3 linked regions of the Drosophila melanogaster genome follow. The protein of the gene in region 1 interacts with the protein of each later gene in a pairwise test. Each region holds a gene or a part of one and is shown on either strand. Other genes may lie near its edges. The genes, in order: CG3078, CG8677 and CG13458.

Region 1 (3,754 bases):
GGAAAAAAGGGAGATAAGCTCCCAGATTCTATTTATATGCGACAGGTGTCACCATGCCGGAAAGCAAGTGACATGAATTATATAAAGGCTTTTCACACAGAGGCGGACTTTTTATGTGTTCACCTGAGAACTCACCTCCATCATCTGCTCTTCCCAGACGTTCTGGGCTCCTCCTGAACTGCGGGTTCGAAGCACTCTGTGCCTGGTGGTCAGCGAATGGCGGTGCTGATGGTGCTGGTGCTGGTGCTGATGCTGGTGCTGATGCTGATGGTGGTGTGAGTGTGGGGCATACTTCTTGCCCAGTCCCAGCATCGCAAAGCCACTGGTGGCCACCGGAGCTCCCGAGCTGGTGGCCAATCCAGAAGCTGGGCCCACTGCCTGGTTCGGACCCTTTCCGCCAGTTGTCCCATTGCCACCGAGCAGCTCTCCGTTGCCTGTTGCAGTTCCTGAGGTGGCATTGAGGCTCAAGGATCCGCCACCAATCCCCAGACCAGCCATTATGTAAGCATTATACGACGATTGCTGAGTGGAGTAGAAAAATACATAAGTCGTAAGGAGGGGGGATCTACTCAGGCGATCTCACCTTGCGCTGCTGAGCAAACGCGGAGAGACGCTCCCGCTCGCGACTGGTGTCCCGAGCCCGCTGCTCCAGCAGAAGTTCGTACTCCCGTCGCTTCTCCCGCTTGCGCTCCGCCTCCTCCAGCTCGTGAAGATTCGGCAGACTGCCCATTTCCGGCGATTATTGCCAACTTATCAAAACCTAGCGCCCGTAGTGCGAGTTATGTGGATTGTGGGGCCACTGCGAATCCAGTACTGCCATCGCTCCAAAACGGCGAACTCATGCTGCTGCTCCACGGGCATCCCATTCCAATCCAGTCTGCAATTATTGTCCTTGCTGCGTAGGCGGGTTCATTGTCCGCCGCCGACCTGCCACGCCCCCAATTCCGCGTATAAGGCTGTGTCAAAACGCAAATATTGTTCTCCTGCAGCGGAATGACTGTGAAGTGGAAACAGGAAATGAAAAAGTTGCGAGGCCTGAACGGCAGCGCCATCTATCGGCTGCTTATCGAGTTGACACCTGCACCTGGAAACCGTTACTCGCACACACACACACATACACCTGGCCGTACGTGCACTGCATACTTATGTGGGCCATAGGCCCTACGTATGCGCACATGTTCTTTCCGTTGCCGTTACCGTTACTTACTCACTACATTCTGGCACATTCACTGGCACTCGCGGTCGCAAAAATAGGATGGTGGGAATAATAAGCTTCTAGGCTAGCTAATCCTAATCTGATTGAAGTCCTAAGGAAGTGGCACCTTAATGCTCACCAATTAGATTGAGTTTCCACTAGTAGGATTACTTGGCAACTCAATAATGTGCCTATTAGCCGCTGCTATTAGTGCAGCCGCGAGTATAGCTCCCTTGGCCGTAGGAACTTCGCACACACACCCCACCCCCCACACTGGCACAAAATCATCAGGTGTGTCCATTTTGTGTTATCTACACATGTGCAGCCGATGGTGCCCCAGGGTCAGGTATTCCGAGGTATATTTCCAGGACACGACGGGATGGTGCAGGACAAGATCCTGGGGATGCCCGGAGGGAACAGGTCCCGAAGACAATGGCACAGTACTTTGCAGCCCATAATCAACTCATAAACATCATAAACTAACCCCCACCCCTCACGAACACCACACACCCATGAAGTGAACTGCGATGGAGGCGTAGTTTTGGGCCCACGCCCCTTGGGCCAGGAAAAGTGGGTGGGAGTTATAAAAAATGCAAAGAGGGCGGATGGAAAACGAATATGAATATTTTAAAACCAAACAAAGACGGGCACAGAAAAGCGCACACACACTCTCGATGCAATGCTCCCTTGAAATCCTCTTGGCCTGTACACATGTATCCACAAACGGAACCCCGTTCAGCAAACTAAAAAAAAAAATCGAATAATATACTTTGTTTATTACTTTTGATTTCTCGGTTGACTGGAATGCACTTTTTTTCGACGAGTCGGAAACAAATTGTTTGTAAGCCTTCAAAGAAGCCAGCACTTTCGCCACTCAACACTCCACAAAACACCGCCGCACGCGAACTGCTCCAGAAACACACTGAAAAGCTGGTAGGGATTACGGCCTGGCGATTCTGAGTCCGCTGCTGAAATTGTTGTCATCTCAGGCCTTCGGCAGCATCTCGCACATCCCACCTCGCATCCCAGGCATGCGCAATCGATACTCGTTACCCCACAATCCCCAGTTCACTCGGGGAAGGGATGGGATGTCATGGCTGTGGCTGCACCGCCACAAAACGATACCATCCCATATTACAACTGCTCTGCGCAAAAGAAACCCCCATACAATGCATTTTGAGTGCTCATTACGGCCATTACCGAATCGATATTCTCGAAATGAACGAGCCGAACTGGCTCGACGTTCAAAACTGCATAAAAAAGGCGTCGTCTATGATTTGGATTTATTTAAAAACTAACTGCAATTGGCTAACAACAAACACGTGCATGGCATGGCGATAATCGGTTAAGTTTTACTTCTGAACAAAGGGCTAACAAATCGTGCCCGGATCAGATTAAGAACAGAAACGAACAGGTAACGCTAATAGATATCGAAATGCAATTGGCGGACCAGTGAGATCCGTTGTCATATCGGGCTAGTTGAACTTTGTCTTTGGATCGCACATTTATAGTAGAGTAGAATAGAGGCATTTCCGTTTCCAAATCCGTTTTGAATCGTCTTCCTTTCTAGTATTTTACTCTTTAACAATTTGTCTTGCACAAGTTTCTGTATTTTTGGGACGATAATTAGATAGGAAATAAAACACACGTCTTTATACACTTGCCACATTTCAGAACGGATGGGCAAACGGAAAGGCCGGGAGTGAGTAATTCTATTGGGGTAGATTGATTTGAGCTTTATCAGGTCGCGCTGTCTAGTCCGCTGGATATCCAAAGCTGAGGTGAAGATTGCACCACCGCCGGTGCTTACCACCCAGGGTGGACTCCTCGCGCCGTACGGCACTTAAAAACGGATTATCTTCAAAGTCAAAGTTGCCCAAATGCGAACGCAGATCGCCTGACGCCACTGGTAACAGTTGGCCATTGGGCAAGCCCATTTGCAGGCGCACGCACTGCTCCACGATGAACTTGAGTGCCGCACGGCGATGCAGCTCGAAGCAATCCCGCGATCCGTACATCAAGCGCTGCTCGGCACACAGACGCATATCGTTGGCGGCAACGTTGCAGCAGTAAAGAAATGATATTAGCCTTTGCTTGCTCACGGAACTCAGATCCACATGTGGTAGCAAGAGACCCAGCAGATCCTCAGCGTTGGCTTCACATTCCAGGCCATAGCTTGTCATTAGATGCTGCAGACTGGCCAACGTAGACGAACCACTGGCTCCGGAATCCTTGGGAAGGGCAAAACTGAGCTCATATGCACGACTCAGGAGCACTTGGCGGTAGTGGTAGCAGCTGTAGTCACTGATGTGCTTCCGCATAAACTTCTCCGTGCGTAGCAGTTCCGATTGCAGCAGGCATGGGCCGTTCTGAAGGATCCACTGGCGGTGCGACCAGGCGTGATAGTTGCTGGCGCATCTATCGGCGGCCCTTTCGCATATCCCGATCTCATTGGGCCAGTCAATAGCATCGGCACCTGGAAATAATGGAATGAAATGGGATCCCCAGTTGCCGACGTCCACTTACTTTGAAATGAGTACAGCCAACGGCGGTAGGCGA
Region 2 (3,754 bases), on another chromosome or scaffold:
AAGTTTGGCCTGGCTAATGAGCAGTGGCTGAAAGACCGAGAATGAAATCTTATCTAAAAATGCAAAGCTCCTTGGTTAAATCCATACACACCTTAACCTTTTTAGACTTTTGATCCTCTTGCTCGGGAGAGCGGAGTTTAATCTTTAGATTGGGTACAGTTTTTTCGGGCTCATCTCCAACTTCCTCATCGTCCTCTTCTTCTTTCTGTTCGGGGGGCGGTGGTTTGGGATGACAACTGTTGCTGCTGCTGGTGTCCTCATCGGCCTCACCAATGTCCTTCGAAGGAAGTACCACCTCATTTCCGCGCAGCCTTGAAATGAGATTTACAAACTCGTCCCTGTTCGTGGCAACCACCTGCCAAATTTCCTCGTCTAGATGCTCCTGGTAGATCCGCAGATTACAGTGGGCATCCTGAGTCAGCCAGTAGGCATGTCCCAACCGGTCCCTTCCAATTGGCTCAGAGCGTAAAGTATCGGCATTCAAGGTGAGGATGTGGGCCCGAAACTTGGCATTGCGTTCAAACTGACTTTCGAGAAGTTCCTGTACGGGAAAGACGCCCTTTAGAACGGTTTATCAAGTGGTACGAAATTCGTTACTCACCCGAAATATTCGCAGCTTAACCTTCAAGCTGGAATTCCTATAACCGAAACGTTCGATTTCCCAGGCATCTTGCACCGAGTAGCCGAAGCAGAATTTGCTGAGGGCGGACTCCCAACTCTTTTCGTGAACCGTCTTACGGGTCTTACGGAGCAGCTTTATGTGCAAGTCCCTTAGCTCAGGAACTACAAAGATTCGTTATAATTAAATATTAGTAAAAGTTCTGCGAAAAGGAAGAAAGTGACAGCGGAATATAAATGGATTGTGGGTGGATTATGAGGGCAAGTGAAATAAATGCAACCGCGTTTGTTGTAGTGTACACTTTTTGTGTCTGCTGTTGCTCACGCAAATACATACAAAACGTAGAAACTTAGCATGATTATAACTTTTTTAAACAAATATATTTTCAGGTTCCCTCCCACTCGTGACCCTAAATATTTAATATATTTCCAGATGCAGGTGTACATTAAAAAAAAAAAACCAACTTTTAGTGTTCAATTGTAGCTCTCTTACTATCTCTCAAATAAGAAGACCAGAGCAAATGTGGGAAATATTTACGTCTCTCCCAGATTTGTTTTGTATATTGCGCTTGTGTTGAGATGAAAACAAATCGCAGTGCTCTCTCTGCCATTGAGCAATCTCTTTCTCTCTGACGAGCCAAGCACGCTCTCCAGAGCGGAGCATTGTTAAATCTCTGGAGCAGACCTATTCGAAAACACTACATCCGTAGTTTCCACCGCCACTTGCCCCACGATAATTGAACCTGACATAAATTAATTTGGCAAAAAACTGCTTCCACCCCGCTCTCTTGATACCACCACCCCACCCTCTCACCATCGTTGTTGTTTGTCAACCACTCCTGCAGATGCTTGAAGTTGGGCAGGTTAAGACCCAGGTCCTTGCCGAATTTTTGCAGGAAGGCGCAAATGACCGCAAAGTCCGGATCATTGGCGCATGTGTGCAGCGTGGAGGTGAGGGCGTCGTCGTCCTTGCACTCCTCCGATATGGAGTCCGTCGGAAGCGGGATCGGATTGGTGGGCGCCGCAGCCGCAGCTGAGGACGCCGCCATTTTTCATGCGTCCCCGAGAACCAGCGAAAATTTTCGGGTGTTGTATACTACTCTGGCAAAACCTCAAAACGGGCACTGCAAACACGAGTCATTTGTCCAAGGATCAAGTTCTCTGGTCGCACGGCACTGCGAGACTTCGAGGGTGCATATTTCTTGCCGCGAGACAGCTCTTGTACGGGATAAAATCCTATTTTAAAGCAAGCGAAAATGCTTTATTTTCTGTTGTGAGTTTCAGTGTGGCCGCGCAGTCACTTTTCGACAATACTGCAGATTGCACCCATGTAATTGAAGCGAGTTGGCAGTCGATGCACTGGGGAACTAGTTTCTAGTATACTTGGCGTATGCATGAAAACGATTTTTACAAACTACGAATACATTTATAACTTACTCAGATTCGCGTTAAGACAGTTTTATTTTTAAGTTAGCGCTAGACTATGAAATGTGTATTAAATGTTACAAATCTAAAAATTGTTTTACTATTAAATAGGCTATGCAAAATTTATTAAATCGACGAACAATATAGGTTATAATATAAATTAGGAACAAAAGGTATAAAGTTTTAGTGTAGATCAAGTTGAAGTAGGGAAATACATTATGGGAAATACAATTTTGCTAAGACAGAAGAACCTTATAAGAAGCTTAACACGTCCACTGTTTTGTTCCGATTTGATAGAAAATTTGACACAACACTTAGATAATTGTAGATACTTATTGGAAAAAACTATTTTAATGTTTATATAAAAAGAAATGAAACTGACATATACACACTAAATGCACTGTAATTGTGTGAAATATGAGGTAATTTTATGATTTTTCCAATGCAAATATATGCGGATACATGTATATATATTGTCCATTTCAATTTTTAATAACAATTTTACATTTTCCGTTACACAAATGATTTAACGGTATATATGGCATTTGGTGAACACGGCTGGTTCAGTTCCCGAACCCAGTTCCAATGATGATGATTTATGTGTGTGTGTGTTGTGTGTAGGGGGAATTTGTTGATAGATAGAACGAGAAAAACAGTCGCAGCAAAACAACAAAGACGACGCAAAACAGTCGAATTTAGTTTTCAATATCAAGTGAAATCATTTCGCTTTGCTCATCTGCCATCGTCGATCAATATCTTGTGTACTCAAACGACGGGACTCTGCAACTGAATATCGCTGAAAAAAAGCATCTAAAGACCAGTGAAAGTGTAACTATATAAAAAAAATACAATCACCAAAGCACAAATCTTCAGCAGCAATGACCACATATCAAATGAACTTCAACCAGGACTTTACGTAAGTAGCGACATCTGTGCTTAAATCCTTAAATCCCGGAAGGTCACCAAAGCGAAAAGTGGCAAACAATTGAGACACAAAAATCGACAAATGAGACGGGTAAATAAGGCGAAAACAGCTGCTGTGGGGAAGGTGGACGGGGATCGTTAGTGTGTCTGTGGGTAAGCGTGAATTGGCGTCATTTTTCGTGTCGTGTGTGTGTGTAGTTTATTAGAACATGCAAACAAGCAGTTCCAATTACAATAGCATGCATTCATCTAACATTTTGGAATGCCTTTCCCGTTTCGGGAGGGGGCTGGGAACCGAACTCGGTACACTGTCAGTGGCCAACAAGCGACCGATTTAGCAGTATTTCCATTCTGATGGCCACTGTGCGGGACACCAACACTCGCACAATTGGCGCACAATCAATTGTTTATGCGCAACAGCTGATGACTAAGGAACAAATGAAAGTGCGGAGCGATAAGGATGAAATAAAATGACAAGAAACAAAGGGGGTCAATCTGGCGGGAGCGCACTGTAGCTATCAACGCAGCCTTAATCTCGAGCTTAATTAACCAGTTTCGCTATTGCACGGTACGTTGATGTCATCCAAGAACAGGGTGAGGGAAGAAGTGCGAGCAAGCCTTAGAAAGAAACGCAAACATCAATATGACTATTTGTGGTGAAAATCGAATCGAAAAGAATATAATCTGAAAAATTTGTCATAGCTCAAACAAAGCAAAAGAGAGATTTCCAATCAGTAACAAATCAAGCACGGGTGAATGTACGCGAAAACGCAAGTCAAACAATTGG
Region 3 (3,754 bases), on another chromosome or scaffold:
GTGCTGCGTACTCACACTCATTGGTAACATCTTTAAATCAGTATAATAATACATTATAATAAAATCCTTGAATACTTCGTGTTTACTTACTAAAGCTTAGCTTCTTCATCATCTGCTTGGTGTTGGAGCAAGCCATGGGCAGCTCTCTAAGAATCTTACTGGGCAGTGATGGCTCCATGCGGCCGAACTGTTCCTGAAACATGATGAAGGCCTTGAAAATCTGATAGGCTCCACACCACTTGGCGTGCTCCTTGCCTCGGTGCTCCGGCTTATCCTTGCAGAAAGCCACCTCGCCACATCCACCGCACATGGATAGACGTTTAAAGCGATGCTCCCGGCACTTTGAGTCGGCGCAGATCAGTGGAAATAGGAGCAACTCTCTCTCCGTTGCGCTGAGCTGACGATTCATCTCCTTCTCCACCTGGCGAATGCACACGATCCGGAAGGAACGGAACTGTTCGTCACTGAAGTCGCCGCACTTGTAGAACATCTCGTGACCTGCATCCGCCCCATCCAAAATTGGCAATTAGTGTGATTTATGAATTTGTGAATCGCCGAAAGACACTCACCATTGCGGTCCACCGTCTGGCGCAGGGCGTAGCACAGCTGGCGGTGCTCCTGGTCGTCTTTCATGTGCCCACTGCTGCAGTAGTAGCTCAGTCCACAGCGGGAGCAGGGTATCCGATTCTGGCCGCACAGATCCGACTTGCAGAACTGCAAGTATTATAAAAGGCTTAGTAAAATAAAATTGTAAAAAAATCTTATTAATGCGCCCTTTACATTTGTATATAGAAATAGGAGAGTACGCTATAGCCAACTTCCTCGACTATCAGATACCCATTACTCATCTAGCGGGAATGCCACCATTAATGAGCATATCGATAGAAACTGGCAAGAAACCATTTTACCTGTTACATACTTTTCAACGAATCTATTATGCCCTTTTCCTTTAGGAGTGTAGGGTATACAAATGTAGAAGTTTTAAACTATAGTCCCTTCAGCAATTAAGCACAGTTTGTAATGAATACTACCTACATTGCACAGTGAGGCCATAAAATATTGCCTTGGCTTATAGATGTACTCCACATACTCCTCCACTTCCTCATCGGATGACTCGACATCGCTGGGCGGCGCTTGGCTGAAAAGCTTTCCAAGATTGCTGAATAACGCGGCTGCTGGGGATTCACCAGATCCTATCAAGCATATTTTAGTTATGTTGAATTGTATATACTTCCTAATGATTATCTAATTACCCTTTGGCAGTTTGCTGCCCAAGCATTTGAGTAGATCATTTATTTCCTCTTCTTTTGAAATTCCAGATGCCTTGGCTTCTGTTTTGAGTTTTGGAGTAACCGAGGTACTCGAAATCTTTGGTTTCTTTTCTTCACTTTTGATTTCCTTTGGTTGGGTAACTATTTTGACCGGATCAGTTGATGGCTTATTTTCGCTGGATGGCACAGCACTATTTTTGGCCAATAATTTCCTACGTAACAGTTGCTGTATCAGCCGGATTGTATCGTTCTCTTGCGGATTTTCCACTTGACCAATTTTTGATAATGATTCAAGCAGAGAATTTCCACTTGTAAGTAAGGGCTTTTCCACCGGAGGTTTACTTTCTACACCATTTGCCGCTTTTGAGCCATTACTTTTGAGTGAAGACGCAATTGCGTCTGGAGATTCCCCTTGATCCTGTGGCACCTGGTTGATCTTGTTGCGCTGGCGATTCCGAATCCTTGGCTTCTTTTTGTGGACCCCCGACTGAATCATGTTAGCTGCGTTTCTCTTATTTCGAGTGCAAAATTAGCCAGAGCACGTTGCTCAATTGAACGAACAATGAAGAATGCGCATTGTTCTTGGTTGGGAGTCTTGCGGTCCGCCTCGATTCAATTGGCCGCTAGCCATCGCTTCTCATCGCGGCCGCAAGCCCAAATGTATGCCCTGGCTATTTTTGTTGGGCACGGGCCTGACGATGTCTGACAACGCCAGCCGGTATCTGAATCCGCATCCCGCATACGAATCTCAATTCGCATGGGCTAGCGTCCATTATTATTCTCGAGTACCAGCGTTTGATTAATTCTCTGCCTATCTCAACTAATTGCGTCAACAAGCAGAAAATTACACTGAAGTCCACTCTGTGGTGCTCTTTAAAAATATAGTTCTTGGCAGAAAAGGGATTATACATAATCCCTTAATATATTTGTAAGAATTTAGAAAAAACAGTCAGTTTTTTAATAAGGTATCAGTTGCCAAAAAGTATTGATGGAACTGTCGTTAAAAATAGAAGCAACAATTGTTTTCAAAGTATTCCAATAGTTTATGTGTGAACAAAATCATAACAATTGGTATGGATATCTTGAAAAGCGATTTTTCCATAAATTCGGAAACAAATAAGCTTATTTAGCATGTTTCAATTCCAATTTCGAAATTTCGCGCCCAATTTGAAAAGAGAGAAATAGCACACATTTACTTTCCACGCACTATTTCCAATACCGTTCTTGCTGCCCGCTAAGTTCAAAATAAAACACAAACATTTGAAATTGTTCCATTAGTTATTTTTTTTTTCGCATCCAAAAAATATATATGAATTAAGATTTTCATATAAATTAAAAATGTACGGAAAGTAACATCGTAGTTTACTTAAGCTTAGGAGAAATTATAAAGGGTTTCTTATTATTAATGCCTCTTTCATAAAAGGTCAAAATTTTCAATTCGCAAATACCGTATTATACCCACCCAGTAATACTTAAGTTATCCCAAACTTTTGGGGTTTTGCGATAACAAAAGTACGTCTGATAATCGGATGTTAAACACTTTAGGATATAAGATACCGTTCACTAGTTTACTTATGGCCATTGGTAGGATCAACGCCTCCGCAGGCACCTTCGCTGTCGGAAGTGCTTATGCTACCATTGCAACTTTTTGATATTCCATTTGTGGGTGTAATGGGAATTTTCAAGGAGCTCAGCGATTTTGTTGCTCCGGCCAAGCCCACAACACTGTCCTCCTCATCCGAGGATGCGTCGGATAGCTGGCGGGGCGACAGGCGGCAACCGCGCTGAATATATTGGTTCAATCGATCCACTGAGGCCAGGATCAGGCCGAGGAAAGGAGGCGACGGCTTCAGAGGCCGCGACAAGTACTCTGGATGATATTGGGTGGCAACAAAGTAGGGATGACCGCTGAGCTCAATGATTTCCATCCTAGTTTTGTCGACGTCGGTGCCCACAAATCGCATGCCTTGCTCTTCCAGCAGATGCACGTATTTGGGATTAACCTCGTAACGATGCCGATGACGCTCCTGCACGCTTTTCGGATTGCCATACAACTGGCGAATGACACTAGGACCATCAGAGAAAACAGTTATTCGCTTGCCCAAGCGCATAGTGCCGCCCAATTGACCCGTGTGATGCTCTGGCATATCGATGACCAAGGCATTAGCTGTGTTCGGATCGATTTCTGTGGTGTTTGCATCCTTGAGACCAAGTTTATTTCGTGCGAATTCAATGACCGCCGCTTGCAGACCCAAGCAGATGCCAAGCAATGGCTTTTGATTCTCTCGCGCCCATTGGCATGCACGAATCTTGCCCTCCATTCCACGGGAACCGAATCCACCGGGGACTAGGATGCCATGGCTATCGCATAGCTTCTGCCACTCCTTGTGGTACTTGCTCGGCTCAGAATGCAAAGTTTCCTCCTCCAGCAGGCACGACTCGATAAAGACCAGTTCCAGTTTGCGATTCACTGCCAGGGCGGC

The links.
Region 2: the proteins of CG3078 (region 1) and CG8677 interact in a two-hybrid assay, tested with the Drosophila melanogaster proteins (one large-scale study listed by BioGRID).
Region 3: the proteins of CG3078 (region 1) and CG13458 interact in a two-hybrid assay, tested with the Drosophila melanogaster proteins (one large-scale study listed by BioGRID).

Annotation. Positions count from the first base shown.
Region 1 is NC_004354.4:2,257,745-2,261,498, forward strand, and holds the start of CG3078 (uncharacterized protein), read right to left. Parts: upstream 2,120-3,754; 5' UTR 1,977-2,119; intron 998-1,976; 5' UTR 731-997; coding exon 584-730; intron 523-583; coding exon 136-522; intron 1-135. Other genes in the region: temp (tempura), read right to left, coding at 2,950-3,671, 3,722-3,754.
Region 2 is NT_033779.5:21,219,465-21,223,218, reverse strand, and holds the start of CG8677 (uncharacterized protein), read right to left. Parts: upstream 1,908-3,754; 5' UTR 1,668-1,907; coding exon 1,433-1,667; intron 784-1,432; coding exon 602-783; intron 542-601; coding exon 92-541; intron 28-91; coding exon 1-27. Other genes in the region: Atg18b (Autophagy-related 18b), read left to right, coding at 2,922-2,959.
Region 3 is NT_037436.4:15,111,783-15,115,536, reverse strand, and holds the start of CG13458 (uncharacterized protein), read right to left. Parts: upstream 1,981-3,754; 5' UTR 1,768-1,980; coding exon 1,254-1,767; intron 1,194-1,253; coding exon 1,036-1,193; intron 715-1,035; coding exon 570-714; intron 499-569; coding exon 91-498; intron 31-90; coding exon 1-30. Other genes in the region: Ctps (CTP synthase), read right to left, coding at 2,840-3,754.